Xenopus tropicalis: one gene and its partners. The protein of the gene in region 3 interacts with the protein of the main gene of each other region in a pairwise test. Links are inferred from orthologs where the notes say so. Each region holds a gene or a part of one and is shown on either strand. Other genes may lie near its edges. The genes, in order: zmynd10, nrbp1, tsc22d4 and mad2l1.

Region 1 (7,478 bases), on a different chromosome or scaffold from region 3:
CACCAACCCTAAGCATATTGCAAGTGAAAACCATCATAGCATAGCGTACCTGCTCTATGATCAGTTCCTTTTTGGGTGGGGCTGGCTCACTCACAGACAAGTGGCTTAAGAAGCGCTGCAGTTCTACAAGATTTGGCAACTGGTCCAGAAGCACTTCAGTGAGAAAGGAACGAAGCTACAAATAAAGAAAGACAAAATACCTTGAGAAGTTAACATCTGTTTTTAGTCTGAGGGGTCAGAGGCCTGTTGGGAAGAATTTTACTTTCTACATATTATTTCTGATTGGAGTACCTTTAAGAGTTGCCCCTTGGTGAAGCTATTGATGTTATATTTCTGTTGGCACTCTGGCCTCAACAGGAGGTTGTATAAAGTTATCCAGGCTTGACCATCCAGCTTGGTCATCTTTAACTGGTCCTCAGCAGGTACAGGGTACCAGCGACCACCTTCATACTTCTGGAGCTGGCCTGAGCAACACAGAAAAAAGGTGTAACGTGTGAGGTAAATACACGTGCGATAAGGAACATTATAGCATAGTTGTGATAGCAAAGATATACTGAAATGTAGGGAAAAGTCCTGCTGCAGCTTCCAGTGTATATTGGAAAATACTCATCAACAGGTAGCAGTCCCCGTGTTGGCTGTATCTCTTACAAATATATTTACAAAAACCTGGAGAGTACACTTATTTGCAGTGAAGCAGTGTAGTTTTAATGAGACATCTTTAAGCACTACATGTTTCGCACCTGAGGAAGGCTGTTCAGCCGAAACATGTAGTGCTTAAAGATGTCTCATTAAAACTACACTGCTTCACTGCAAATAAGTGTACTCTCCAGGTTTTTGTAAATATATATGTGATAGCAAAGGGAAAAAGTACAAAGTTTAAAATAATGCACTGCTGCAAGATGAGGACACAGTAGGGCTTAGTTACAATTTGTACAATTGCAAGTGCTGGTGAACTAAGGGGGGCAAAACTGTGCCCAAAGGGCATAAACAGAGCACATATGCCTGTACCCAAGGAATGTACAAGCTGCACTCTTTAGCTTGAGATAGTTTAAATATCCAGCATGTAAGTACAGCTTACATAGGCGCACAACAGTCCTGTACTAAATGCCTACCTTTGCGCCTTGTGTCCAACTTATTACAGAAGGTTTACAGGCTGTGTAGGGGAACACCAAGCGCAACCCTATGCTGCGTATAGTAAATGCTTGCATACAAAGGCACAACTCTTTGGGCTCTGCTTTACTAACATAAGATTTGCACCTCTAGGTACAAATCTGGGGGGGGTGTGGCAGGGAAAGGCACCCCCTCAAACTTTTTTTGCAGTTTACTTCCCTGGTTGTAAATGAGCCATAGTGTAGTAATACATGACCTGTCTAACAAGGCCATTTATTGATGTTTAACTTTTTTTCTTTGTATTACAGGAGAATTAATTAGAAAATTAAGTAATTAAGTGATTTATGGCTCAAAGCACAGAGGAGCCTTGCGATACCACTGTCTTCAAAATATTCCAATAATAATCATCAATAATCAAAATGATTAATATTAATAATTAAGTATCATTAAGCTGCTTATTCTTATTAAATGAACCGCTATGTCTCTTGCAGGCCAATTTACATCTACACACTAGTTTGCAGCAGTGTAATGCACACCATATCCGCACCTTTTTGGCGCTGGGTCCAGGGACACTGATGCAGGAGTTCCACCAACAGACAAGGCAAGTTGTGAGTATTAAGGAGACGATTGGTCACACATAGTGGGAGGCTGAGGGGATAAAAGTTGCATTAATTCTTACAAATAAATCATTCATTGTAGGTCAAAGGCACATAGGACTATTCCCACTGTTTTGCCAATCATACCCATGGCAAAAAGCCGAAAATGCACCTCTATAGGCTTTTGTGGTAATGGTCACTGCCATGTTTTCAAGTGATTGCACATAAAGAGTCAGGTTGATTACCATGAACAGATCCATCCCCTTTGTACACTGCCCTAAAATAACATGATCTTGTATGCCAGCCTTTAGGTGTTCTGAGATTTTGCATGCTCACCTGTCAGTATGATCACTGATATATCGCATAACTGACAGGCATTTTAATGCAATGTCAAACTCCAGAGATTCAGCCTGCTGCTTTAGCTCCTAGGACAAATGTAGAGAAAATGTTAATTCCTTAAAAAACAATAGTAAATGTAAGTCTGCTGCAAAAGAGGGAATTTAGAGCACTATAAAAAAAATGTAAATAACACCCTGCTGCATTATAAATAAAATTAGTAGGGCTCATTTATAATGGATACAGATGCAAGTACTGGTGCTCTAAGTGGTGCAAAACTGCATGGAAAGGGCCCATAAACAGAACACTAATGCTTGTATCTATTGATGTTACAAGCTGTATTACTTTTACCTAGTTTCAACATCCTGAACACAGAGCACAGCACAGGCGCAAGATGGCCTTGTTGCCTTTGCACCTTGTGTGCACTGGCGCTCCTGCCTTGTATACAACTAAACAAGTTAGGGACACATTGAGGGCAACCATGTGCTGCTTATACAATATGCTGCACTGCATGCACAAGAGGCACAACTCGTGGGACTCCACTTTACCAACACTAAGCTTTGCATCTCTAGGCAACAGGTACAAATCTGGTGGGGATGGAAGGGAGTGGCGGTGCATTCCACATGTTTTTTTGTACTTTAGTCCCCTGGTTGTAAATGAGCCCCACTGCAGCAATACATTAAGTTTAATGTATAGAGAGTGTGCTTGGGACTGGAAGAGTCTTATATGTGGGGAGGGGGCTAACTATATTTTTAACTTTCAGCTGGTCAGTTCAGGCTAGTTTTTAGTATTTAAGTCACTGCATCTCTGTTGAGCAGTACTGAATTGCACATTCCATTTTTATTGCATTAACGCTCACCTCTAACGATGATGCTTCACTGGCAGTGTGGGAGAGAAGTCTGTCCTGGCTGAGTGTTTTCATATTAGAGCTTTGTGATGCTAACAGAGTCAGTTTCCTATGGCAGTAATCAATCAGATCCAGAGTAAGGTCCTCCGCAGACTCACATACTTCCTGCAAAACAGGAATAACTTATAACTAATTATATTCCTGCCCAGTGTGCATTTCATATACAAGCTGTTCTAAATGGAAAGATTTTTACTACCACATTTCTCAAGAAATTCAGAACTTTCACTAAATATCATCCCCTGTGTTCCAGCTGCATGCATGACACTCCTGGGAATCAATACATGACTGAAGAGTAAATATATGCCACAAATGAAAATACAAGGAAAATATCCAGAGATGCCAGACCTAACCTCACAATATATAATTACACTGCATATTTTCTATGCAAAGTTAGAAAACTTTAGCACAGAATAAAGTAATTTATTTAAACTGCAATTAGGAAAAGTGCCTATAAAAGCTTCAACATGATTTCAGCAGCAGTGTAAAAATTCTCTCTAAAAAGTGCTTTCTAAATAGGTAGATATACTCTAAATATGGACCAGAGTAAGGGTTTTACCTTATGGTAAAAGATTGTCTCCAGTAGGTTAATGATAGTTGCTTCATGATGTATCTGTAGGGACATAAATAAATGATTAATTAAATGCTCTTGACCTTCCACTGGTAAACTGGAGAACCCCAGAAATAACATTACAGTTATCTACGAATTCTAGAATGGTCATTCTTCCCATGCATCATGCTGTTTTCTATAGTTTGTTTACAATACAATAAGCAAGTCATTTTAGACTATGTAACATGGATATACACTGAAAGGCTTAACTTGTTGAAGATTGTCTTCTTTCAACCCAACTTAACTATGTACCTATTATGCATGAGCTGTTTGTTTAGCAGTTGACTAAGACTGGAATACTGGGAACAACTCTGTGTATTGTGGCTGGGAACTCCCAATTAATTGTCCCTGCATGCCTGCAATAATAACTGTTCAGGAAAAAAGGTGTGTCTTGGTTGCTTGCACTCTTACCACCATATAGAGAGGGAAGGTGCTCTTGGGCTGGAAGTCTTGCAGTTGACACAGTACAGGAAACACCTTAATCTTCCAGATCTCCACACTGATCAGTTCATGAATTAAAACTGAAATCTGATAAGAAGAAGCGAAAGGATTTTAGAATAATATTGTAACGCATGTCCTTTTTTATTACAAATGATACCTTCTTCCTAATATCCTATGGCTCTCTGTGCTTTGCCTTGTGTACCAAAGTGCTAAAGACAGTTGTAACACATTTAACTCTGTTTATAAAGCCAAAGGGATATCTTTTCTATTCCTGTTAAGTATCACATATACTTTTTCATTCTTGGGCAAATGCCACATGGGCTGATTCTCAGTCTGTGTTCATCAACAGGCAAAGAATTAGCCCTGTGTGACATTAGCCTTAGAATGAAAACATATACATGATACTTTGGGCATCAGCCCCTCCGTTTGCATCAGCCCTCTCTGTGTCTGCACCTGGAGCCATTGAGTAGGCCCGGGTATAAGCACACGGATTGGAATTTGGTGCCAAAACATGTGAAACTAGCAAGAGGAACATGGCTGACACAATGTTAATCTTTTCTGCAATCAAAAATGCAATTAATATTTGTCCAGTGCTGGCAGAACTTACAATTACTTTCATGTACAATATGAGCTTAAATAGCTCAGCTGATGCAGATTCCTTTTGTATTGTAAATGTTATAATCTCTCTATTGCTAATATATTGCTATGCCTTAGTATAACTCGTGCAGTAGAAGTCTGAAAGCAGCTTCCTGTTCAACAGAACAGGAAGTGAAGCATACACAGGAAACACATTTATCTGAAAGCATTGCTTTTTATAAAAAACAGCACAGGGACATCAATGGTAATATAATAAATTGTTCATATATTTTGTTTAGTATAAAAACTAAGTGTTCATTGCATTTTACCTATCATTTCTTTTAAGCAATGTTAACTATCACAATTGGTTTTACCTTTGAATGTGTCACAAGCAGGTCCTTAATAATCTCCTCCTGCCCTGCTGAAGCATTGAGGATCGCTTGCATATTTAGCTTTTCAATGTATTCATGCTGTTTAAACCACCTGGAGAGATTAGATGTTATAGCATTAAAAGGTGCAAATGTGGTGTAACTAAATTTTACTGGACCCCACAAAATCTTTAAGGCCCCCAAACCTTGGAAAGATAATCACATACATTGAAACTACACATTCTTTAGAATCCCAGTGGGCCCTATATACTCCTCTCTCTCCTTGTTACATATTTAAAAGAATAGTAACGTGTTTTTCAATCTGTTTGGCTGGTTTTTTTTTAGTATCACTAAAAACAATATATCACTAGTGTTACTACAATACAGTAGACCCTAGGGGGCCCGGGGTAGAGCAGGGTATAGACATTCCCAGGGTCTGCTGTATAGTTCCACCTAGGGTTGTACAGGTATGGGATCCATTATCTGGAAACCCATTATCCAGAAAGTTCCGAATTACGGAAAGGTCATCTCCCATAGACTCCATTATAAGAAATAATTCTAATTTTTAAAAATGATTTCCTTTTTCTCTGTAATAATAAACCAGTACCTTGTACTTGATCCCAACTAAGCTATAATTAATCCTTATTGGAGGCTAAACAATCGTATTGGGTTTATTCAATATATAAATGATTTTTAGCAGACTTAAGAGATCTGGAGATCATGGAGATCTAAATTACAGAAAGATCCCTTATCCAGAAAACCCCAGGTCCCGAGCATTCTGGATAACAGGTCCCATACCTGTACCAGCCAACTGGTAAAATACCAGACAAGGCCAGGGCCGGTATTACGAGTTTATTGCCAATGACTTAATTACCAGAATAGAAGAGAAACTGCTAAACTATGTGCTAATATACATACTACCACCTAATATGTCTGTATAAGATTGAATATTATTCACGCACCGCCTTCTAGCTCCACAGTAAATACATGTTCAACAGCGGAAAATAAATTCAGACAAGATTGTATCTAGGACTAAATGACTATCCGAGTGCTGCCACTAGGTGTCAATCTAGGACCTCCTTATGCCTGGGGTGTAATTGTAAACTTTTTGATATGTACAATAAAATATTATTGTATAGTGGGTTGTTTGAGTTGCAATGAACAGGAAAGTAAATAGTGCTGCACACAGGAGCTCCAGAAATAAGTAAATTTATGAATCCTGATGTGTACATTACCATTTGTTTGCAGCAGGGATTGATCCATTTTAAGGGAGTCTTCCTTGACGATATGAGTTTATAAATTGAATATATTTATGCATACACATATCTATAAAATTGCTTGTGTATATAACAGACAGGTTAACTCTGTCCCCTCCAATACCTTAGCAATAAGCCTATTACCTTTGGGCCAAGTATTGTAAATATATATATATATACAGGTATGGGACCTGTTATTCAGAATGCTCAGGACCTGGGGTTTTCCAGATAAGGGATCTTTCCGTAATTTGGAACCTCATAACTTAAGTCTGCTAAAAATCATTTAAATATTGAATAAACTAATATTCTAAACTAATAGTATTGTTTTTCCTCAAATAAGGATTTATTATATCTTAGTTGGGATTAAGTACAGGTACTGTTTTATTATTACAGAGAAAAGGGGAATCACCTTATAAAATTAAAATTATTTGCTTATAATGGAGTCTATACGAGATAGCCTTTCCATAATTCAGAACTTTCTGGATAACGGGTTTCTGGATAAGGGATTCCACACCTGTATATACAGCCATACATATATTCATACATTTGCTTCTTTGTATATAACTGGAAAATTAACTCTCTGGAAATAAGTCTATTACCCTGTGCCAGGTTTCACTGAGGATCTTCTATGGAAAGATTTTGAACTACCGTTTCCTTCAGAAATTTCCCAATAGTTCCTCTTGACCGATGCATGCGCAGTAGAGTGAATTCTGACATATTACTATTCTGTGTGGGGTGGGGGGGAACAATGAACTATTGGGAAATTACTGAAGGATGGCAGCATGGAAGCTCTGATCGGACATATCCAGTTTTTCAGCAAAACGGAGCACCATCCCTAAGTCTGAGGTCAGTGATTATATTCAATGGGGCATTCCTAACAAGTAGAACAGACATACTGTAACTATGGTACACACTATGTATTGCAGATCCAGCTGGGAAATCCTGGAAGCAGGACACTTGAAAAACTGATAGAATGGAAATGGTATAGGGGTTAAGCTGTGGACCTGGCACATATAGGATAAATGGGAAAACCCATTTTTTTTCCTAATTTTGTAGGCAATTATGAATAATATACGGTGCTGGTTTCCCTTTGTGCTAAAAATTAATCCTATCTGTAAAAACGGCCCCTTTATTTTGGAGCTCCCTATAGATCCTATCTCTTCTCTGTCAGAGTTTGAAATGGAGAGTGGGCGTGTCCTAACAGTCCCTGCCAGAAGCACAGTAGGAGGGGGAGAGCCAATCACAGCCCTGCACTCACACAAGCACAGACAGGCTTCAGTT
Region 2 (8,189 bases), on a different chromosome or scaffold from region 3:
TTGGGGGGGGGCGCTGGCTCCCCAGTAAGTGTATTTATGTACAGTAGAACTATTGGGGGGGGCGCTGGCTCCCCAGTAAGTGTATTTATGTACAGTAGAACTATTGGGGGGGGTGCTGGCTCCCCAGTAAGTGTATTTATGTACAGTAGAACTATTGGGGGGGGTGCTGGCTCCCCAGTAAGTGTATTTATGTACAGTTGAACTATTGGGGGGGGGGCGCTGGCTCCCCAGTAAGTGTATTTATGTACAGTAGAACTATTGGGGGGGGTGCTGGCTCCCCAGTAAGTGTATTTATGTACAGTAGAACTATTGGGGGGGTGCTGGCTCCCCAGTAAGTGTATTTATGTACAGTAGAACTATTGGGGGGGGTGCTGGCTCCCCAGTAAGTGTATTTATGTACAGTAGAACTATTGGGGGGGGCGCTGGCTCCCCAGTGAGTGTATTTATGTACAGTAGAACTATTGGGGGGGCGCTGGCTCCCCAGTAAGTGTATTTATGTACAGTAGAACTATTGGGGGGGCGCTGGCTCCCCAGTAAGTGTATTTATGTACAGTAGAACTATTGGGGGGGCGCTGGCTCCCCAGTAAGTGTATTTATGTACAGTAGAACTATTGGGGGCGCTGGCTCCCCAGTAAGTGTATTTATGTACAGTAGAACTATTGGGGGGGGCGCTGGCTCCCCAGTAAGTGTATTTATGTACAGTAGAACTATTGGGGGGGCGCTGGCTCCCCAGTAAGTGTATTTATGTACAGTAGAACTATTAATTATTAATTAAGACTTTTTTCACATTAAGGGGGAAGCGCGCCCCATTTATCCAAACCAGATGTCCCCCTGCCCCAGGACTCACCTCCTCACGTCTCTTCTGCCAGCGCCCCCTGTGGCACACCATGCCCCCCTGCCCCAGGACTCACCTCCTCACGTCTCTTCTGCCAGCGCCAAGCAAACAGCACCCCTGTGGCACACCATGCCCCCCTGCCCCAGGACTCACCTCCTCACGTCTCTTCTGCCAGCGCCCCCTGTGGCACACCATGCCCCCCTGCCCCAGGACTCACCTCCTCACGTCTCTTCTGCCAGCGCCCCCTGTGGCACACCATGCCCCCCTGCCCCAGGACTCACCTCCTCACGTCTCTTCTGCCAGCGCCCCCTGTGGCACACCATGCCCCCCTGCCCCAGGACTCACCTCCTCACGTCTCTTCTGCCAGCGCCCGCAAGGAGACTCCTCTAGGATCTCAGACTCATCTTCACTCTCCTCCTCTTCCTCCTCCTGTGGTGGTGCAGGGGGGGCACTAACAGGCGGTGACATGGAAACCCCACTCTCCATCTTGGGGTCTGAGCCTGTGCTGGGGGCAGTTTTGCCTTCACCTTCTGACATTGCCCTTTGTGTGAATATTCAGAAAATTAAAGGAACAGCACCTGGGGGAGGAAAGGGCAGAGATTAAAGGCACAGCTCAGCACAATGCCTCCCCCCCCCCCCCCCCAGAGACATTAGGCTAATGCCACACGAGGCATAGGGCGGATATTTTTGGTAAGTGCCTGCACCCAAATGCATGAGATACACTCGGGTGCAGTACATGTAGCCGATATACACATGAAAATGCGAGATAATGTAAAAAAAAGACAAAGACAATCCCCCCACCTCGCTACCCCTGCCTCTCTCTCACCCCAATCCCCCCACCTCGCTACCCCTGCCTCTCTCTCACCCCAATCCCCCCACCTCGCTACCCCTGCCTCTCTCTCACCCCAATCCCCCACCTCGCTACCCCTGCCTCTCTCTCACCCCAATCCCCCCACCTCGCTACCCCTGCCTCTCTCTCACCCCAATCCCCCCACCTCGCTACCCCTGCCTCTCTCTCACCCCAATCCCCCCACATCGCTACCCCTGCCTCTCTCTCACCCCAATCCCCCACCTCGCTACCCCTGCCTCTCTCTCACCCCAATCCCCCCACCTCGCTACCCCTGCCTCTCTCTCACCCCAATCCCCCCACCTCGCTACCCCTGCCTCTCTCTCACCCCAATCCCCCCACCCTCGCTACCCCTGCCTCTCTCTCACCCCAATCCCCCCACCTCGCTACCCCTGCCTCTCTCACCCCAATCCCCCCACCTCGCTACCCTGCCTCTCTCTCACCCCAATCCCCCCACATCGCTACCCCTGCCTCTCTCTCACCCCAATCCCCCCACCTCGCTACCCCTGCCTCTCTCTCACCCCAATCCCCCCACCTCGCTACCCCTGCCTCTCTCTCACCCAATCCCCCCACCTCGCTACCCCTGCCTCTCTCTCACCCCAATCCCCCACATCGCTACCCTGCTCTCTCTCACCCCAATCCCCACCTCGCTACCCCTGCCTCTCTCTCACCCCAATCCCCCCACATCGCTACCGCCCTGCCTCTCTCTCACCCCAATCCCCCCACCTCGCTACCCCTGCCTCTCTCTCACCCCAATCCCCCCACATCGCTACCCCTGCCTCTCTCTCACCCCAATCCCCCCACCTCGCTTACCCCTGCCTCTCTCTCACCCCAATCCCCCCACCTCGCTACCCCTGCCTCTCTCTCACCCCAATCCCCCCACCTCGCTACCCCTGCCTCTCTCTCACCCCAATCCCCCCACCTCGCTACCCCTGCCTCTCTCTCACCCCAATCCCCCCACCTCGCTACCCCCTGCCTCTCTCTCACCCCCAATCCCCCACCCTCGCTACCCCTGCCTCTTCTCTCACCCCAATCCCCCCACATCGCTACCCCTGCCTCTCTCTCACCCCAATCCCCCACCTCGCTACCCTCTGCCTCTCTCTCACCCCATCCCCCACCTCGCTACCCCTGCCTCTCTCTCACCCCAATCCCCCCACCTCGCTACCCCTGCCTCTCTCTCACCCCAATCCCCCCACATCGCTACCCCTGCCTCTCTCTCACCCCAATCCCCCCACCTCGCTACCCCCTGCCTCTCTCTCACCCCAATCCCCCCACATCGCTACCCCTGCCTCTCTCTCACCCCAATCCCCCACATCGCTACCCCTGCCTCTCTCTCACCCCCAATCCCCCAGCCTCGCTACCCCTGCCTCTCTCTCACCCCAATCCCCCCACCTCGCTACCCCCTGCCTCTCTCTCACCCCAATCCCCCACCTCGCTACCCCTGCCTCTTCTTACCCCAATCCCCCACCTCGCTACCCCTGCCTCTCTCTTACCCCAATCCCCCCACCTCGCTACCCCTGCCTCTCTCTTTCCCCAATCCCCCCACCTCGCTACCCCTGCCTCTCTCTCACCCCAATCCCCCCACCTCGCTACCCCTGCCTCTCTCTCCCCCAATCCCCCACCTTCGCTACCCCTGCCTCTCTTACCCCAATCCCCCACCTGCTACCCCTGCCTCTCTCTCACCCCAATCCCCCACTCGCTACCCCTGCCTCTCTCTCACCCCAATCCCCCACTCACGCTGCCTCTCTCACCCCAATCCCCCACTCACCGTGCCTCTCTCTTACCCCAATCCCCCCACTCACCCCTGCCTCTCTCACCCCAATCCCCCACTCACCCTGCCTCTCTCTCACCCCAATACCCAATCCCCACTCACCCTGCCTCTCTCTCACCCCAATACCCCACTCACCCTGCCTCTCTCTCACCCCAATCCCCCACTCACCCTGCCTCTCTCTCACCCCAATCCCCGCACTCACCCTGCCTCCTCTCACCCCAATCCCCCACTCACCCTGCCTCTCTCACCCCAATCCCCCACTCACCCTGCCTCTCTCTCACCCAATCCCCCACTCACCCTGCTCTCTCACCCCAATCCCCCACTCACCCTGCCTCTCTCACCCCAATCCCCTACTCACCCTGCCTCTCTCTCACCCCCAATCCCTCACCTCGCTTACCCTGCCTCTCTCTCACCCCAATCCCCACTCACCCTGCCTCTCTCACCCAATCCCCCACTCACCCTGCCTCTCTCTCACACCAATCCCCCACTCGCCCTGCCTTCTCTCACCCCAATCCTCCCACCCACCCCTGCCTCTCTCTCGCCACAATCCCGCCACTCACCCTGCCTCTCTCTCGCCCCAATCCCCCACTCACCCTGCCTCTCTCTCACCCCAATCCCTCACTCACCCTGCCTCTCTCTCACCCCAATCCCCCACTCACCCCAATACCCCAATCCCCCACTCACCCTGCCTCTCTCTCACCCCAATCCCCCACTCACCCCAATACCCCAATCCCCCACTCACCCTGCCTCTCTCTCACCCCAATCCCCCACTCACCCCAATACCCCAATCCCCCACTCACCCTGCCTCTCTCTCACCCCAATCCCCCACTCACCCTGCCTCTCTCTCACCCCAATCCCTCACTCACCCTGCCTCTCTCTCACCCCAATCCCCCACTCACCCTGCCTCTCTCTCACCCCAATCCCCCACTCACCCTGCCTCTCACCCCAATCCCCCACTCACCCTTGCCTCTCTCTCACCCCAATCCCCCACTCACCCCTGCCTCTCACCCCAATCCCCCACTCACCCTGCCTCTGTCTCAGCTGCCTGTGTGTCACCCCCAGCCCCACCCATCCCATGTACCCGCCCCCCATCTCTGCCTGCGTCACCCCGGGGCCCCACTAAGCCCTGTTCCTACCGCCCTAGGGCCCAACGTTACCCGCCACAAACCTTCCCCTCCCCCCTGCGCCTATAACACAGCAGAAGCTAAACTGACGCGCAGCACCCCAGCGCTCCCACTTGTTGCTGCCTCAGTCTCAGCACAGACCCCGGGGCTCCTTATATCCCTGTCCCGCACCCACACGCCCAGCCCGTCGGGACGTACCTTACCGTGCGCGAAGTGTTACGTGCAGGAAGGCCAGTCCTAGGCCCAGAATCCCCGGCCTGGGTTACTCAGTACCCGGATGTGACGCTTCGGACTCCCTTATGGCGAATGACCAAGCCCAGCCATTCAGGGCCTGGCTCCGCCCGCACAGCCGAACCCACTCCCTCCCACAGCAGCCAATCAGCGGCGGCTCAGGACGCTAGCGAGCCGCTGATTGGCGGAACTGACACGTTAGTTTGTAAAAAATGACCCAGTTAGTGTGAGAGCGCAGTCTGACAGCAACTTCCCTGGGCCAGCTGCTGCGCCCCCTGGCGGCCATAGTGTCCCGGGCAGGGTAACTGCACCTTCTTCTGCCTCTGTTGCCCTTCCCGCCGGCTGTACCCCAGTACTCACTGGGAAATGTCTGCTAGCCCAGAACTACCCCATTACCCTGTGCCTGGCCGGGCAAATTGTCTATCCTGCCCCGGGAAGAGCTCATGTCCTACCCCCTAGTCCCGTAACGGCACTTACCTGCAGGGGGGATTCTGCTTTCAACTTTAGCATGGGGGCAGCTCCAGGGGGGGGGGGCAGCTCCAGGGGGGCCGCAGCGCTAATTATACTTGTACAATTCAGCTCTCAGCTGGCTGTGTGCCCCCTGTAACTGGTCACTGTCACCTGGAGTTCCCACCTTAGGGCCGGCCCTGCTTATCTGCCCCCTGTCCTGCTTATCTGCCCCCTGTCCTGCTTATCTGCCCCCTCTCCTCTCCTGCCCCCTCACCTCTCCTCTCCTGTCCTGCTTATCTGCCCCCTCTCCTCTCCTCACCTCACCTCTCCTCTCCTGTCCTGCTTATCTGCCCCCTCACCTCTCCTCTCCTGTCCTGCTTATCTGCCCCCTCAGCTCTCCTGCCCCCTCAGCTCTCCTGCCCCCTCTCCTCTCCTGCCCCCTCACCTCTCCTCTCCTCTCCTGCTTATCTGCCCCCTCAGCTCTCCTGCCCCCTCCCCTGTCCTGCCCCCTCACCTCTCCTGTTTATCTGCCCCCTCACCTCTCCTCTCCTGCCCCCTCTCCTCTCCTCTCCTGCCCCCTCACCTGTCCTGCCCCCTCACCTCTCCTCTCCTGCTTATCTGCCCCCTCAGCTCTCCTGCCCCCTCCCCTGTCCTGCTTATCTGCCCCCCTCAGCTCTCCTGCCCCCTCACCTGTCCTGCCCCCTCACCTCTCCTGCCCCCTCACCTCTCCTCTCCTGCCCCCTCACCTCTCCTCTCCTGCCCCCTCACCTCTCCTCTCCTGCCCCCCTCAGCTCTCCTGCCCCCTCACCTGTCCTGCCCCCTCACCTGTCCTGCCCCCTCACCTGTCCTGCCCCCTCACCTCTCCTGCCCCCTCAGCTCTCCTGCCCCCTCACCTGTCCTGCCCCCTCACCTCTCCTCTCCTGCCCCCTCAGCTCTCCTGCCCCCTCACCTGTCCTGCCCCTCAGCTCTCCTGCCCCCTCACCTCTCCTGCCCCCTCACCTCTCCTGCCCCCTCACCTCTCCTGCCTCCTCACCTGTCCTGCCCCCTCACCTCTCCTCTCCTGCCCCCTCAGCTCTCCTGCCCCCTCACCTCTCCTCTCCTGCCCCCTCAGCTCTCCTGCCCCCTCACCTGTCCTGCCCCCTCACCTCTCCTGCCCTGCCCCCTCAGCTCTCCTGCCCCTCAGCTCTCCTGCCCCCTCAGCTCTCCTGCCCCCTCACCTGTCCTGCCCCCTCACCTCTCCTGCCCTGCCCCCTCAGCTCTCCTGCCCCCTCAGCTCTCCTGCCCCCTCAGCTCTCCTGCCACCTCACCTCTCCTGCCACCTCACCTCTCCTGCCACCTCACCTCTCCTGCCCCCTCACCTCTCCTGCCCCCTCACCTGTCCTGCCCCCTCACCTCTCCTGCCCCCTCACCTGTCCTGCCCCCTCACCTGTCCTGCCCCTCAGCTCTCCTGCCCCCTCACCTCTCCTGTCCCCTCAGCTCTCCTGCCCCCTCACCTGTCCTGCCCCCTCACCTCTCCTGCCCCCTCACCTCTCCTGCCCCCTCACCTGTCCTGCCCCCTCAGCTCTCCTGCCTCCTCACCTATCCTGCCCCCTCAGCTCTTCTGCCCCCTCACCTGTCCTGCCCCCTCAGCTCTCCTGCCTCCTCACCTATCCTGCCCCCTCAGCTCTTCTGCCCCCTCACCTCTCCTGCCCCCTCACCTGTCCTGCCCCCTCAGCTCTCCTGCCTCCTCACCTGTCCTGCCCCCTCAGCTCTCCTGCCCCCTCAGCTCTCCTGCCCCCTCACCTCTCCTGCCACCTCACCTCTCCTGCCCCCTCACCTGTCCTGCCCCCTCACCTGTCCTGCCCCCTCAGCTCTCCTGCCCCCTCACCTCTCCTGTCCCCTCAGCTCTCCTGTCCCCTCAGCTCTCCTGCCCCCTCACCTCTCCTGCCCCCTCACCTGTCCTGCCCCCTCAGCTCTCCTGCCTCCTCACCTATCCTGCCCCCTCAGCTCTTCTGCCCCCTCACCTGTCCTGCCCCCTCAGCTTCTCCTGCCTCCTCACCTATCCTGCCCCCTCAGCTCTTCTGCCCCCTCACCTGTCCTGCCCCCTCAGCTCTCCTGCCTCCTCACCTGTCCTGCCCCCTCAGCTCTCCTGCCCCCTCAGCTCTCCTGCCCCCTCACCTCTCCTGCCCCTCACCTCTCCTGCCCCCTCACCTGTCCTGCCCCCTCACCTCTCCTGCCCCCTCACCTATCCTGCCCCCTCAGCTCTTCTGCCCCCTCACCTGTCCTGCCCCCTCAGCTCTCCTGCCTCCTCACCTATCCTGCCCCCTCAGCTCTTCTGCCCCCTCACCTCTCCTGCCCCCTCACCTGTCCTGCCCCCTCAGCTCTCCTGCCTCCTCACCTGTCCTGCCCCCTCAGCTCTCCTGCCCCCTCAGCTCTCCTGCCCCCTCACCTCTCCTGCCACCTCACCTCTCCTGCCCCCTCACCTGTCCTGCCCCCTCACCTGTCCTGCCCCCTCAGCTCTCCTGCCCCCTCACCTCTCCTGTCCCTCAGCTCTCCTGTCCCCTCAGCTCTCCTGCCCCCTCACCTCTCCTGCCCCCTCACCTGTCCTGCCCCCTCAGCTCTCCTGCCTCCTCACCTATCCTGCCCCCTCAGCTCTTCTGCCCCCTCACCTGTCCTGCCCCCTCAGCTCTCCTGCCTCCTCACCTATCCTGCCCCCTCAGCTCTTCTGCCCCCTCACCTGTCCTGCCCCCTCAGCTCTCCTGCCTCCTCACCTGTCCTGCCCCCTCAGCTCTCCTGCCCCCTCAGCTCTCCTGCCCCTCACCTCTCCTGCCCCCTCACCTCTCCTGCCCCTCAACCTGTCCTGCCCCCTCACCTCTCCTGCCCCCTCACCTATCCTGCCCCCTCAGCTCTTCTGCCCCTCACCTGTCCTGCCCCCTCAGCTCTCCTGCCTCC
Region 3 (7,478 bases):
GTTATGGGCTAAGGGGGCCCAGCCTGAAGGCCAGTTAGGGGGGGATTTGGGGTGAGTGCTTATTTGTGCCCTGGGTACCCCTGGAACTATAGCGGGGTGACTGTTACTGTTGACTGTTATATATATATATATAAAGATAAAGGGAGACATTAGCGGTGGTGGGGGAGGTGCAGTATAAGCAGGGCCAGCAGAGGGAGACAAAGAGCAGAGATGCAGTGACAGAGAAGAGACAGCAGAGGGAGCTACAGGGCACAGAAGGGCAGACACTGCTAGTTACACTGCTAGTTCAGATGGGGTTAGTTGGAAGGGCAGTTGGGGCAGGTACTTACCATGGCCTGCTCAATTTTGTTGTCTATTGCTACCAAACTGTTGCTGGAAACACTGAGGAGAAACAGACAAAGGGGAGATTGTTATTGTAGGGTTTGTGAGTTGTATTTCCTAATGTAAATGTAATACACAATTCTGCCCCTAGAGGCCCCGCTGAGCAACTGGGTGCTGTGATGGAATGGCAAGGATCTCTCAGGGGGCCCTGCATTTCTCTGTGGGGGGGCAGGGGGATTCTGGGAGAGGCAGAACATGAGAGGCTCTGCAGGGCTGTTTGGGGGGGCTGCATTTCTCTGTTGGGGGGCTGGGGGGGCAGGGGGATTCTGGGAGAGGCAGAACACGAGAGGCTCTGCAGGGCTGTTTGGAGGGGCTGCATTTCTCTGTTGGGGGGTCTGGGGGGGCAGGGGGGATTCTGGGAGAGGCAGAACATGAGGCTCTGTAGGGCTGTTTGGGGGGGCTGCATTTCTCTGTTGGGGGGCTGGGGGGGGCAGGGGATTCTGGGAGAGGCAGAACATGAGAGGCTCTGTAGGGCTGTTTGGGGGGGGGCTGCATTTCTCTGTTGGGGGCTGGGGGGGGCAGGGGGATTCTGGGAGAGGCAGAACACGGAGGCTCTGCAGGGCTGTTTGGAGGGGCTGCATTTCTCTGTTGGGGGGCTGGGGGGGCAGTGGGATTCTGGGAGAGGCAGAACATGAGGCTCTGTAGGGCTGTTTTGGGGGGGCTGCCATTTCTCTGTTGGGGGCTGGGGGGCAGGGGGATTCTGGGAGAGGCAGAACATGAGAGGCTCTGTAGGGTTGTTTGGCGGGGGCTGCATTTCTCTGTTGGGGGGCTGGGGGGGGCTGGGGGGGCAGGGGGATTCTGGGAGAGGCAGAACCATGAGAGGCCTCTGCAGGGCTGTTTGGGGGGGGCTGCATTTCTCTGGGGGGGCAGGGGGATTCTGGGAGAGGCAGAACATGAGAGGCTCTGCAGGGCTGTTTGGGGGGGCTGCATTTCTCTGGGGGGGGCAGGGGGATTCTGGGAGAGGCAGAACATGAGAGGCTCTGCAGGGCTGTTTGGGGGGGCTGCATTTCTCTGTTGGGGGGGCAGGGGGATTCTGGGAGAGGCAGAACATGAGAGGCTCTGCAGGGGCTGTTTGGGGGGCTGTATTTCTCTGTTGGGGGGGCAGGGGGATTCTGGGATAGGCAGAACATGAGAGGCTCTGCAGGGCTGTTTGGGGGGGGCTGCATTTCTCTGTTGGGGGCTGGGGGGGCAGGGGGATTCTGGAGAGGCTCTGCAGGGCTGTTTGGGGGGCTGTATTTCTCTGTTGGGGGGCTGGGGGGGCAGGGGGATTCTGGGAGAGGCTCTGCAGGGCTGTTTGGGGGGCTGTATTTCTCTGTTGGGGGGCTGGGGGGGCAGAGGCTCTGCAGTTGGAAGTGACAGATGGATAATAAATGTCGAGGCTCTGTGTCCGGCTGTGAAATTCCTGCAGCTCATTCCTCTCGGGCCCCGGGGGCTGCTGGGAAATATCCCTGAGCCTCACACTATGGGCCCCGACTGTAAAGGGGAAATAAGAGCAAAGAACTTGTGTAAATAAAATAACTCAGTGCTTAGGCCGTACCTTCCCCCTCACTGTATCCTTCCGCCGTATGCCGGATCCCCCCTCGCCCTTGGGTTTAGCTCTGTTATACAAGAACTATAGTCCCTGTATGAGACCCCGGGGCTGGGGCCCTATATACAACCCCGGGGCTGGGGCCCTATATACAAGCCCTGGGCTGGGGCCCTATATACAACCCCGGGGCTGGGGCCCTATATACAAGCCCTAGGGTCTGGGGCCCTAATATACAACCCCGGGGCTGGGCCCTAATTACAAACCCCCGGGCGGGGCCTAAAAGCCCGGGGCCTGGGGCCTACTATACAACCCCGGGGCTGGGGCCCTATATACAACCCCGGGGCTGGGGCCCTATATACAAGCCCCGGGGCTGGGGCCCTATATACAAGCCCCGGGGCTGGGGCCCTAATATACAACCCGGGGCTGGGGCCCTATATACAACCCCGGGGCTGGGGCCCTATATACAAGCCCGGGGCTGGGGCCCTATATACAACCCCGGGGCTGGGGCCCTATATACAACCCCGGGGCTGGGGCCCTATATACAAGCCCGGGGCTGGGGCCCTATATACAACCCCGGGGCTGGGGCCCTATATACAAGCCCGGGGCTGGGGCCCTATATACAAGCCCGGGCTGGGGCCCTATATCAAGCCCTGGCTGGGCCTATATTACAACCCCGGGGCTGGGGCCCTATATACAACCCCGGGGCTGGGGCCCTATATACAACCCCGGGGCTGGGGCCCTATATACAAGCCCTGGGCTGGGGCCCTATATACAAGCCCTGGGCTGGGGCCCTATATACAAGCCCTGGGCTGGGGCCCTATATACAACCCGTGGGCTGGGGCCCTATATACAAGCCCGGGGCTGGGGCCCTATATACAAGCCCTGGGCTGGGGCCCTATATACAAGCCCTGGGCTGGGGCCCTATATACAAGCCCTGGGCTGGGGCCCTATATACAACCCGTGGGCTGGGGCCCTATATACAAGCCCGGGGCTGGGGCCCTATATACAAGCCCGGGGCTGGGGCCCTATATACAAGCCCTGGGCTGGGGCCCTATATACAAGCCCTGGGCTGGGGCCCTATATACAAGCCCTGGGCTGGGGCCCTATATACAAGCCCTGGGCTGGGGCCCTATATACAACCCCGGGGCTGGGGCCCTATATATAAGCCCTGGGTAAGGGGTTCCTCAGGGCCCCAGTAGTTACCCATGAGTACTATTAGTGGTAGATGCCAGGGAGGGGGAGGAGCTGGGTTGTAGGCGGGCACAGTTGGACCTTACCTGTCGTTGTCCCCTCCCACACAGAAGACGGATCTCGCCAAGATGAGCCGCTCAGTAAAGTCGTCAGTGTCCCGTTGGGCTGGGGGGGTTTCAGGGTGGAAAGTAGAAACTGGGGGCCCCACAGGACTCTGTGTTGGAGAGCGCTGTACGGGAGAGAGAGGGGGGCCAATTAGTGTGACGCAAAGCAGCCATTCCTGGTGATGCCCCTCCCACTGACTCCTGCTGCCCCTCCCACTCACCTGCTGCCCCTCCCACTGACTCAATCTAAGGTCCCTATCCCATTTCCCATCAGTCCCTGCCCCAGTGAGCTTACAATCTAAGGTCCCTATCCCATTCCCATCAGCCCCTGCCCCAGTGAGCTTACAATCTAAGGCCCCTATCCCATTCCCATCAGTCCCTGTCCCAGTGAGCTTAAAATCTAATGTCCCTATCACATTCCCATCAGTCCTGCCCAGTGAGCTTACAATCTAAGGTCCCTATCCACCCATCAGCCCTGCCCCAGTGAGCTTACAATCTAAGGTCCCTATCCATTCCCATCAGCCCTGCCCAGTGAGCTACAATCTAAGGTCCCTATCCCATTCCCATCAGCCCCTGCCCCAGTGAGCTTACACTCTAAGGTCCCTATCCCCATTCCCCATCAGTCCCCTGCCCCAGTGAGCTTACAATCTAAGGTCCTATCCCATTCCCATCAGTCCCTGTCCCAGTGAGCTTACAATCTAAGTCCCAATCCCATTCCCATCCAGCCCCCTGCCCCCAGTGAGCTTACCAATCTAAGGGTCCCTATCCCATTCCCATCAGCCCCTGCCCCAGTGGCTTACAATCTAAGGTCTCCTATCACCATTCCCCATCAGCCCCCTGCCCCAGTGGCTTACATCTAAGGTCCCTATCCCATTCCCAATCAGCCCCTGCCCCAGTGAGCTTACCATCTAAGGTCCGCTATCACATTCCCATCAGCCCGTGCCCCAGCGAGCCTTACAACTCTAAGGTCCCTATCACATTCCCATCAGTCCCTGCCCCAGTGAGCTTACAATCTAAGGTCCCCTATCCCATTCCCATCAGTCCCTGCCCCAGTGAGCTTACACTCTAAGGTCCCCTATCCCCATTCCCATCAGTCCCTGCCCCAGTGAGCTTACAATCTAAGGCCCCTATCCCATTCCCATCAGTCCCTGCCCCAGTGAGCTTACAATCTAAGGTCCCCTATCCAACATTCCCAATCAGCCCCTGCCCCAGCGAGCTTACAATCTAAGGTCCCTATCACATTCCCATCAGTTCCTGCCCCAGTGAGCTTACAATCTAAGGTCCCTATCCCATTCACCCTACAGTTGGGGGTAAGTGCATTTCAGCAGAGAATAGCAGTGAGGAAACTGTCTCTCCCTTTTTACCCCTCCTCTCCCTCTGGGACATTTACTGCCCCCGGGGTAAATACACAAGGAAAGCTGCAGGAGAAGGAATGGCTCCAGGTGTGAGGGCCAAAACTAACAGCAAAGGAATGAGGAGAAACAAATGGGGAGGGAGAAGGGGAATCATCAAAGCCCATGTATTTACCCCTCTTACCTCAATCCTTATATCCGAGCCTGTTCCTTCCCCCAGCACTGGGGCCCCTTGTGACCTGGGGGCCTGAGGGCCCTTTCCTCCAGCTCCCGGGGACAGAAGTAAGGGGGACCGGAGTGGGGAGGCGCGGGGGAGCCCTGAATCCAGAGAGTGTCCTGCCCCAGCCCGGCACGTAGACCCCACCTCGGGGTGGTAGAATTCCACACAGCTCCAGCGGCCTCTCTTGTACCGCCGCCCCCCTCCTAGGGGAGCCTGGTCCAGTCGGACCACCCGAAAGCGAGAGGTTGGGGGCGAGCGTAGTCCATTTGTGGGTGTGGGGGAAGCAGAACGCTCATCGGCTACTGGTGAAACTGGGGAGGAGGGCTGGTAGTCACTGGTCACACTGGTGATCTGGAAGCCACTTCGCTTCTTGCCGAGGCTCATTGCAGGCGATCCTGCCAAATATCATGAGAAATATATCCTTATATTATACACTGTATCACTCATGTATTATAAGGGATAATGTACCCCCTACTGTAAATGATAAGGATATTAGCAGTCACTGAGGGGTTCTGTGCCCCCCATATAAAGGCACAAGGCTGCAGGCTGAGTTATACAGGGAACTCTGAGTATCACTCATGTATTATAAGGGATACTGTACCCCCTACTGTAAATGATAAGGATATTAGCAGTCACTGAGGGGTTCTGTGCCCCCCATATAAAGGCACAAGGCTGCAGGCTGAGTTATACAGGGAACTCTGAGTATCACTCATGTATTATAAGGGATAATGTACCCCCTACTGTAAATGATAAGGATATTAGCAGTCACTGAGGGGTTCTGTGCCCCCATATAAAGGCACAAGGCTGCAGGCTGAGTTATACAGGGAACTCTGAGTATTCACTCATGTATTATAAGGGATAATGTACCCCCTACTGTAAATGATAAGGATATTAGCAGTCACTGAGGGGTTCTGTGCCCCATATAAAGGCACAAGGCTGCAGGCTGAGTTATAAGCAGGGAACTCTGAGTATCACTCATGTATTATAAGGGATAATGTACCCCCTACTGTAAATGATAAGGATATTAGCAGTCACTGAGGGGTTCTGTGCCCCCCATATAAAGGCACAAGGCTGCAGGCTGAGTTATACAGGGAACTCTGAGTATCACTCATGTATTATAAGGGATAATGTACCCCCTACTGTAAATGATAAGGATATTAGCAGTCACTGAGGGGTTCTGTGCCCCCCATATAAAGGCACAAGGCTGCAGGCTGAGTTATCAGGGAACTCTGAGTATCACTCATGTATTATAAGGGATAATGTACCCCCCTACTGTAAATGATAAGGATATTTAGCAGTCACTGAGGGGTTCTGTGCCCCCCATATAAAGGCACAAGGCTGCAGGCTGAGTTATACAGGGAACTCTGAGTATCACTCATGTATTATAAGGGATAATGTACCCCCTACTGTAAATGATAAGGATATTAGCAGTCACTGAGGGGTCTGTGCCCCCCATATAAAGGCACAAGGCTGCAAGGCTGAGTATATACAGGGAAACTCTGAGTATCACTCATGTAATTATAGGGATAATGTACCCCCTACTGTAAATGATAAGGATATTAGCAGTCACTGAGGGGTTCTGTGCCCCCCATATAAAGGCACAAGGCTGCAGGCTGAGTTATACAGGGAACTCTGAGTATCACTCATGTATTATAAGGGATACTGTACCCCCTACTGTAAATGATAAGGATATTAGCAGTCACTGAGGGGCTGCAGGGATATGGTATAAACATAAAGGATTGTATATTCACACTGAGGCAGCAGTGATTGGTAGAAGAGGGAGGAAGAGCTGCTGTGGGTTAAGGGATATACAGAAGAACTACATCCCATGATGCACTGTAAGGCCGGCAGTGACAGGGTGGCCAATAGAGCGTGGGGAGTCAGTGCAGGGAGTTATAGCCTGTGTTATGGTATCACATGAAAGGATAAAAGCTGAAAAACAATTCAAGGCCGGGGAATTGGCACAGCCAATCACTGCTCTCAGGCTCCCTGGCACTCATATTCTCCTTTACTGTGCGCAGCAGGGGGTTATATTTGTGCGGCTCCTGGTGGCCCCACGGTACCTTTGGCACAGAGTATGCAGGGGGCACCCAGTCAACTAGGGGCGGTTTGCCTAATGGGTCGTGGGGGTAACCCTGTAAGCCCCCGCCTAGCCAATGGGAAGTTATACGTTTTTATAGAAATGCTCAGTATTCAGCCAATCAGGTTGCAGACATTACAGCATGTGACCGTGGCACCAGTGGGCCCAATAACGCACATTATTAGCGGCCTGTGGGCCTTTGGGAAACTGGGGAAAGGTGAGATGTGCTGGAAGCTAATTCTAAGCAACTTTTCAGTTGGGCTTTATTTTTTCTGCTTTATAGTTTTTGAATGGTTTGCCTCGTTCTGAATCCGTCCGGCAGTTACATGAGGGTCGCTGACCCCCGACATCTCAAAAACAAATGTTCATCTTTGTATCCAAGCCCTCCGCTATTCCAATTCCAGCCTCTCATTCAAACCAAGGCCTGGCTGCTAGGGTAATTTGGACCCTAGCAACCAGGTAGCGGCTGAATAAAACAGCGAAATAACTCAAAAACCACAAAAAAGAAAACCAATTGCAGATGGTCTTAGAATTTCACTTCCTACATCAGGGCAAAACAACCCCCCCTGTAATGTAATGTAATGGGTGGGTGTGGCTTATTACAGCAGTGGGTGGGGCCTAT
Region 4 (8,239 bases), on a different chromosome or scaffold from region 3:
CTAAGAGCTAAAGGCAAATTCATAAAAAAATGTCAGTAAAATGACAAAATCTGAAAACTGTCTGTTTAAAAGACTAAGTGGTTGCGTAACATACAAGCACAAATTGTAAGGTAAGAGTGCATCAGGTATGGGCATTTGTACTTAAGTGCAGGACTAGGCAAAATAATGTTTTAGTTCTCTTAAAGAGAGTTAGTGAGTGTTCCCTATGGAGGGATTCAGGGATGGAGTTCCAGAGGTACAGTGGATATAAAATGTCAGGTTCCTGTGCTGTACAAAAATAAGACAAAGATAAATAATTTCAGAACTTTATCCACCTTTAATGTGACCTATAAACCGTACCACACAATTGAAAAACAAACTGAAATCTTTTAGGTGGAGGGAAGAAAACCAAAAAAACTTAAATAATGTGGTTGCATAAGTGTGCACACCCTCTTCTAACTGGGAATGTAGCTGTGTTCAGAATTAAGCAATCACATTCAAAATCATGTTAAATAGGAGTCAGCATACACCTGCCATCATTTAAAGTGCCTCTGATTAACCCCAAATAAAGTTCAGCTGCTCTTGTTGGTCTTTCCTGACATTTTGTAGTCGCATCCCACAGCAAAAGCTTTGGTCCACAGAGAAGCTTCCAAAGCATCAGAGGGATCTCATTGTTAAAAGATATCAGTCAGGAGAAGGGTACAAAAGAATTTCCAAGGCATTGGATATACCATGGAACACAGTGAAGACTCATCAAGTGTCATCAAGTGGAGAAAATATGGGACAACAGTGACATTACCAAGAACTGGACGTCCCTCCAAAATTGATGAAAAGACGAGAAGAAAACTGGTCAGGGAGGCTACCAAGAGGCCTACAGCAACATTAAAGGAGCAGCAGGGATATCTGGCAAGTACTGGCAGTGTGACAACAATCTCCCGTATTCTTCATATGTCTGGGCTATGGGGTAGAGTTGCAAGACGAAAGCCTTTTCTTATGAAGAAAAACATCCAAGCCAGGCTACATTTTGCAAAAACACATTATTATGTGTTATGTTATGGTCTTATGAAACCAAGGTTGAACTTTTTGCCATAATTCCAAAAAATATGTTTGGGGCAAAAACAATACTGCACATCACCAAAAGAACACCATACCCACAGTGAAGCATGGTGGTGGCAGCATCATGCTTTGGGGCTGTTTTTCTTCAGCTGGAACTTCGGCCTTAGTTAAGATAGAGGGAATTATGAACAGTTCCAAATACCAGTCAATATTGGCACAAAACCTTCAGGCTTCTGCTAGAAAGCTGAACATGAGGAGGAACTTCATCTTTCAGCATGACAACGACCCAAGGAATGGCTTCACCGGAAGAAGATTACAGTTTTGGAATGGCCCAGCCAGAGCCCAGACCTGAATCCAATTGAAAATCTGTGGGGTGTTCTGAAGAAGGCTGTGCGCAGGAGATGCCCTCGCAATCTGACAGATTTGGAGCGTTTCTGCAAAGAAGAGTGGGCAAACCTTGCAAAGTCAAAATGTGCCATGCTGATAGACTCATACCCAAAAAGACTGAGTGCTGTAATAAAATCAAAAAGTGCTTCAATAAAGAATTAGTTTAAGGGTGTGCACACTTATGCAACCACATTATTTTAGTTTTTTTGGTTTTCTTCCCTCCACCTAAAAGATTTCAGTTTGTTTTTCAATTGAGTGGTACAGTTTATAGGTCACATTAAGGGCTCTGGCACACGGGGAGATTAGTCGCCTGCGACAAAACTCCCTGTTCGAGGGCGACTAATCTCCCCGAGTTGCCTTCCCCTGCCATCCCACCAGCGAAAATGTAAGTCGCCGGTGGGATGGCACACGCAGCGGCACAATTTCGCGCAAATTGCTGAAAAAGCCTCGCGAGGCAACTTCGGCGATATGCGCGAAATTGCGCCGCCGCGTGTGCCATCCCACCGGCGACTTACATTTTCGCCGGTGGGATGGCAGGGGAAGGCAACTGGGGGAGATTAGTCGCCCGCGAACAGGGAGTTTTGTCGCGGGCGACTAATCTCCCCGTGTGCCAGAGCCCTAAAGGTGGAAAAAGTTCTGAAATGATTTATCTTTGTCTCATTTTTGTACAGCACAGGAACCTGACATTTTATCAAGGGTGTGTAGACTTTTTATATCCACTGTAAGGAGCAGCAAGATAGAAAGGTTTAGGACGAATGTGCGCAGTTGGTGTTGATGGTGTAAAAAGACAGAGACGACCAGGAACGTGCAGAAACCAGCAAACAAAAATGTAGCAAAGAAATGTTCCCACAGCACTGCCTGTCAGGAGTATGCATGATCATGGGTCCCTGCCCCCCAGGCATAATGTCGCCACCTGGCCAGTATTTTACCAGCCTTGATACCAGGCCAAATGGGTAGGAATATTATTTTTTTTACCAAACAGTGGCACTGGTAACCCAACCCATGATCCAAAAACAGAAGAGCAGGGTAATAGCTCCCTATGAAATTGCCCATAGGTGGGTATGTGACAGGGAACTGCATGCTCCAACGGGATCGAGAACGATGTGAATTTTAAAGTCATAAATGTATTTTCCAGTGCCCTAAGTGTGTATACGTTTGAAATAAAATTTCTGCATAATTTGTTGTTCCTGTATGCTATATCGTAAAAATGTTAAAGTTATATACATCCAAGTCCAACGCGCTCCACGCCCACTAATATGAGCCGTACCTCTTACAAATCACAATACCATGTTCTAAATATATCTGCGGAAGACGTCTACAGAACTGCGAACATATGCTCCATTTATTTAATATCACCGACAACTGCCCAAATATCGATAAACACTGCGCCAATAAACTAAACACGTAGCAAACGCAGATTCGATTCAGTTATTCTAGCTGCAAGCAAATTAGGAAAGCTAACTTTTGATTGGTTGATATGAGCTACACTATTACCGCAAATTTTAAGATTTGCCCTCAGTAATGATGGCGAACATACGACGTCACGCAGAACGCATCTTTCCGGCTGGCTTTTAATTGGACCACAGGCTGCACATGATGTGACAGTTGTCCAATCAGAGTACGAGTCCGCCGTTGGTTTGAAGTGGAAGGCGCGTTAGTACTATCAGGACCTGAAAACTTTTGGAACCAATTCAGTTTTACAAGAAGGGTCCGATGGCCGGTCAGCTAACACGTGAAGGGATTACCCTGAAGGGTAGCGCTGAAATCGTGTCGGAGTTTTTCTGTAAGTGGTTGGGGAGGGGAAGATAACCCTTATTGGTTGCAATAGCAGTAGCTAATAACTGAGCCTTTGGCATGGCTGATATGGGGACATGGATAGAAAACGCACTGACAATTGGACTCATGCAGTAAAGGAGGGACTACACGAAAATATTTTGCTGACAGTGTGTAAAAGTCCACCCCACTATCTGCTTGCTGAGTAAAGCTGCAGCTTTGGCCAGATAGAGCATGTGATTTGGAAGTCAGGCATTAATTGGTCTCCACTGAGCATAATATCCTCTTAGAGAGAGAGACTGGCACAATATGCTGCTTAAAATCGATATTTATTAAGAACTCAATACATCTTATTCAGAGAACAACAAAGCCCTATGTGTTTTTGTGTCCCATCTGGGCACTTCATCATAGGCCAAATCATTCCTGTTTGCATAATATCTTCTTAGAGAGAGACAGGTTGGCACAAAACCAGACTGGAGTAGAACTATACTGCTTAAAATTGCTATTTATTAAATATGTAATAGATCTGTTTCAAAGAACAACAAAGCTATGTGTTTTGTGCTCCATCTGGGCACTTAGTCATAGGCCAAATCGTTCCAGTGTGCATACTCCTGCTTCCAAAGATGGCAGCCACCAGCCCTGCTGCACAACTCTGCAATTAGACAACTGATATTGTGGTGGCCTGGATTTTGTAGACATTGGCAGTGATGCAGTTGAGGGGAGGGGAGCTGCTGTAGGTGGATACAATTTAAAAAAAAAAAAGAGTATGTGGGGGTTAGTGCTTCTTTAAAATTTTGAAAAACAGCAAGCACAAATTAACTTTTTTTTCTACAATGCTACATTTGTGTTGGCTGGCCAAGATCATGCTCCTTTTGTAAGGGGTGGCTATTTGCATACACTGTAACGCTACCAAGCAATTACTTGGCACTAGATTAAATAAAGTCAATTGAATCTCTGTATCTTAAGTGAACTAAGAAAAGTGTTAACAATAAAACTGGATAGGGTAGTTTTGTCACCAATATGGATTTATGCAACTTAGTTAGGATCAAGTCAAAACACTATTTTGAGGACATCCAGTATGGTGGCCACAATTAGTCACTCCTAACATAGAAGTGCCTTACAGCTTAAGAAAATAACTGTCAGTGAAAACCTTAGCTCTGTTGCAGTAAGGCTATACTTTGTGAGGTAAAAATACTTGTACCTTATGGAAACTAAGCTACACAAATCCATATTTGAGACCAAATGATCCTATGGGGTTTATTTAATGTATAAATAACTTTTGCAAACATATGGTATGATGATCCAAATGTCAGAAAGGTCCCTTATCCCAAATACCCTATGTCCAAAGCATTCTGGATGCTATACCTGTATTTTCACTGTAATAATAACCGTAGCTGCATAAATTCATATCTATAACAATCTAGTTGGGTTTATTTCATGTTTAAATGTTTTTCAGCAAAATCAATTATAGAAAAAAACCCTTACCCAGAAAACTACAGGTCCCAAAAATCAGGATATTAATCAGTCTGTTTTTGATCATATGTTAATTTTTGTTTGTTTTTTTTTCTCCTTAGTTTGTGGCATCAATAGTATTTTATATCAGCGTGGGATTTATCCATCAGAAACGTTCACACGTATCCAGAAGTATGGACTTACACTGCTACTCACTACAGACCCAGGGCTGAAAGAGTATTTAAATAAAGTTACCGATCAGCTTAAAGGTTCTTATTGGGTTTTATACATGATCATATCTTTATTTTTTTTATCTTTCTGTATGGTTTTGTTTTTGAATAGTTGTGGGTACCTTTCCATTTTCACTAACATATCCTAGATATGTCAAGGCTATATGTGAGAAAATATGGTATGTGTTAATTTGGGCCAGACTTTACTTCAACATACACATGCTCTTATTGTTAATGTGGTCTTAAGGGTAAGAATCAACAGAGCAAGTAACTCGCTCGAGAGAGATTTTTGCTATCGTGGGCTAGTCACCGTTGAAAAGGCTTTCCACTGGCAACAATAGGAAGCCCTTCGCGTTGCTTCGGTTTTCCTCCTCCTTGGTGCGACTTCAGAGCAGTTACATGCCCGCGATAGCAGAGATCTATCTTGGGCTAGTAACTCACTCCATGGGTTCTTACCCTTAAAGGAGAAAGAAAGGTAAGATCACTGAGGGGTGCCTCTGTTAGGAGAAAGCTGCACTGGCCCTGGGTACCTGAGAGAGCGATTCTCTTATGTCTTCTCACCACTTGCGCATGCACAGTTCTGTTGGCTTTGGGATCATAAAGAAAAAAATGACAAGAGGAATAAGATTGCTGGTGCAGGTTTCTCCTAACAGGAACAGCAGCCGAGGGTATAAGGTAAGCATTTACAGTCACTGGGGTGTGCCTAACGTTTTGGCACTCCCGGTGATTTTACCTTTCCTTCTCCTTTAAGCTATTAAAACAGAAATTGATGGGACATTTGGGTACAGGGGGTATTTGTGATCATCAGCTGATCAAATTTCAATCAATTTTTGTAAGGCAGTTGGTTTACTGTTAAACTGGACTATATTAGGTCATCTTTGTTAAAGCTGCCACACCATACTGAACCTTTTGAGTGGATGTTTATTAGAGATAAGTCTACAGTGGGAGGGTTTTTTTCTTTTCTTTTTTTTTTTTTTTCTAAATTTGAACATAGGAATGCATTTCCAATATAAGCTGCTTGTTTTTTGTGTCATTTTGAAAATGTGATACCCACCCAAGGATTTTAATAACTCTGTATTGCTCAAATTCAACCTTTTAAAGGAGAAGGAATGCCTAAGTCACTTGGGAGTGCCAAAATGTTAGGCACCCCCAAGTGACTTAAATCGCTTACCTGGTGCCCCTGTTAAGAGAGAACTGTACCAGCCCGGGGTAGCTGCAAGCGCTTCCTTCCATGTTGGCGCGCTGCACATGTGCAGAAGAGTGAAAAGCCGAACTTTAACAACAAAGTCGGCTTTTCATTCTAATGCCCAGGGATTTTGCCACAGAAGAAACGCGGAAGAAGGAAGCGCTCGCTACAGCTACCCCGGGCTGGTGCTTTTTTCTCCTAACAGGGGCACCAGCCCGGGGTACAAGGTAAACGATTAAAGTCCCTTGGGGGTGCCTAACATTTTGGCACCTCCAAGTGACTTAGACTTTCCTTCTCCTTTAATTCCTGTTTGTACCGTTTGTATGTATATTAGGCAGGCCAATAATTTATTTATTTTTTTCTTTTATTAGATTGGTTGTACAAATGCCAGGTACAGAAGCTTGTGGTTGTGATAACAAGTATCGACAGCAATGAAATTCTTGAACGCTGGCAGTTTGACATAGAGTGTGACAAAACTGTGAAAGATGGGTAGGTTTTTTTTTTCTTGTTCCCCCTTTAGAGCCAATATTAAAGGTTTAACGTTATCCATTATTTATACATATTAAACTATAAAAAAGAAAAAAAAAATCTTGGGAAATGACACTGTTGCAAAGTCTCCAGAAAACTTTAAACCAACCATTTCAGTATTGTTAAAAATCACTTCCACATAAGGAAAATTACCTTGGAGCAGTATACCCTGTTGCACTCTACAGGACATTGTTTGTCTTTGAACACATACTACTTAAATAAAGACCGTAGTAGACAGCATTGATGAGAAGGCATTTCACAGCTAACAGACTAAACTGCAAAAGGACATTAATTGTATTGTAACTTTAATTGCAATTCACTGTAAATCAATAAAGGTGTTCAATGACCAAAAGAAGCCAGCACATACAAAATTACTTAGAATTAACTAGGAAAGAAGACACAACACTGCAACTTTGACCTGTATCCAATCTAATTTAGTATTTAATTTTTTATAATTTCAGTATTGTTCGTGAAAAGTCGCAAAAGGTTATTCAAGAAGAAATTCGATCAGTTATAAGGCAAATTACTGCCACTGTAACTTTCCTTCCTTTGCTGGAAACAGCATGTGAGTATATATAATCTTTTGGAAAAGTGCTTTTTGCTCCTCTATATACACAAGTTTGTAAAAAAAAAAATATTTATAGCACCCTGTAAAAGGGTTGGCTAAAAATGATGTTTTTTCTGTACTGAGCTTTATGCACCCAGCATCTCCATAACAGTAATGATCCAGGCCTTGTGCACAGGAGCTCACCATCTTGGAATTTGTTAGAAGTGTCGGTGACACTGCACATGCTCAGTGCTGTTGAGAAGCTAAACTTAGGGATTATCACAGATTATTAAGCAGAAAAATAGGATTGCCTGTCATAAATGCTGATTATTAAACTTTGCAAATGCACTAGTTTCTGAGTGCCATGTAATATAAATCTGAATTACTAATTAACCTTATATCAGGGCTCTTATATTCTAAATATACTTTATATTGTGAGTGGGTCCCTAAGCTCAGTAACTGACAGTAGCATAGAGCATGTGCAGTCAATCAGCAGAAAAGAAGATGGGGAGCTACTGGGGCATATTTGGAGGCACAGATCTTCCCTGCAAAAGGACTGCTGTCCTTTGGGCTGCTACAGAACCCCAAACCTATACTGCAGCATTTCTACCCTACTTATTTGTCAAGCTTTTGTGTAAACTGTTTTTAGCCTTTAGCCTCAATCAAATTTTTTCCTTGATAGTTTTCATTTTTAGGTCAAATAGGTATTTATTTTATTTTTTTTAATTGATTTTTAGTAGAAATATCTTACTGTTTGCCTTTCATATTTAGGTGCCTTTGACTTGCTGATATATACAGATAAAGACTTGGAAGTCCCTGAGAAATGGGAGGAATCTGGTCCTCAGTTTGTGTCCAACTCTGAAGAGGTCCGCCTGCGTTCATTTACAACAACTATTCACAAAGTAAATAGTATGGTGGCATACAAAAAGATAGACACTTGCTAAGAACCTGAGATATCAGTGTTGTATAGAATGCTGCATTTGAGTCTTTTAAAGAAATCCTTTATATTGTTTCATACAAATAGTTTTATGAAACTGTCCCTAGATCAAAATAGGATTGAATTACTGTCAAGGATATACTGTGTGCAGATAAAACAATAAA

Evidence for each region.
Region 1: the proteins of tsc22d4 (region 3) and zmynd10 interact in binary tests that used the Homo sapiens proteins (3 or more experiments, as listed by UniProt). The two-hybrid records come from large-scale screens. The link is inferred for Xenopus tropicalis from reciprocal best matches to the Homo sapiens genes TSC22D4 and ZMYND10.
Region 2: the proteins of tsc22d4 (region 3) and nrbp1 interact in binary tests that used the Homo sapiens proteins (3 or more experiments, as listed by UniProt). The link is inferred for Xenopus tropicalis from reciprocal best matches to the Homo sapiens genes TSC22D4 and NRBP1.
Region 4: the proteins of tsc22d4 (region 3) and mad2l1 interact in binary tests that used the Homo sapiens proteins (3 or more experiments, as listed by UniProt). The two-hybrid records come from large-scale screens. The link is inferred for Xenopus tropicalis from reciprocal best matches to the Homo sapiens genes TSC22D4 and MAD2L1.

The regions. Positions count from the first base shown.
Region 1 is NC_030680.2:127,250,508-127,257,985, forward strand, and holds part of zmynd10 (zinc finger MYND domain-containing protein 10), read right to left. Parts: intron 5,057-7,478; coding exon 4,948-5,056; intron 4,085-4,947; coding exon 3,968-4,084; intron 3,560-3,967; coding exon 3,506-3,559; intron 3,055-3,505; coding exon 2,902-3,054; intron 2,132-2,901; coding exon 2,043-2,131; intron 1,759-2,042; coding exon 1,658-1,758; intron 465-1,657; coding exon 292-464; intron 176-291; coding exon 50-175; intron 1-49. UniProt on the Homo sapiens protein: Plays a role in axonemal structure organization and motility. Involved in axonemal pre-assembly of inner and outer dynein arms (IDA and ODA, respectively) for proper axoneme building for cilia motility.
Region 2 is NC_030681.2:162,078,787-162,086,975, reverse strand, and holds the start of nrbp1 (nuclear receptor-binding protein), read right to left. Parts: upstream 4,862-8,189; 5' UTR 4,776-4,861; intron 4,695-4,775; exon of another isoform or gene 4,668-4,694; intron 4,644-4,667; exon of another isoform or gene 4,622-4,643; intron 4,532-4,621; exon of another isoform or gene 4,479-4,531; intron 1,414-4,478; 5' UTR 1,373-1,413; coding exon 1,181-1,372; intron 921-1,180; exon of another isoform or gene 890-920; coding exon of another isoform or gene 848-889; intron 1-847. UniProt on the Homo sapiens protein: Required for embryonic development. Plays a role in intestinal epithelial cell fate and proliferation, thereby involved in the architectural development of the intestine potentially via the regulation of Wnt-responsive genes.
Region 3 is NC_030679.2:151,479,838-151,487,315, reverse strand, and holds part of tsc22d4 (TSC22 domain family protein 4), read right to left. Parts: intron 5,172-7,478; 5' UTR 5,161-5,171; coding exon 4,741-5,160; intron 3,330-4,740; coding exon 3,187-3,329; intron 382-3,186; coding exon 330-381; intron 1-329.
Region 4 is NC_030677.2:71,052,623-71,060,861, reverse strand, and holds the start of mad2l1 (mitotic spindle assembly checkpoint protein MAD2A), read left to right. Parts: upstream 1-3,089; 5' UTR 3,090-3,135; coding exon 3,136-3,205; intron 3,206-4,769; coding exon 4,770-4,916; intron 4,917-6,434; coding exon 6,435-6,552; intron 6,553-7,052; coding exon 7,053-7,156; intron 7,157-7,909; coding exon 7,910-8,082; 3' UTR 8,083-8,239. UniProt on the Homo sapiens protein: Component of the spindle-assembly checkpoint that prevents the onset of anaphase until all chromosomes are properly aligned at the metaphase plate.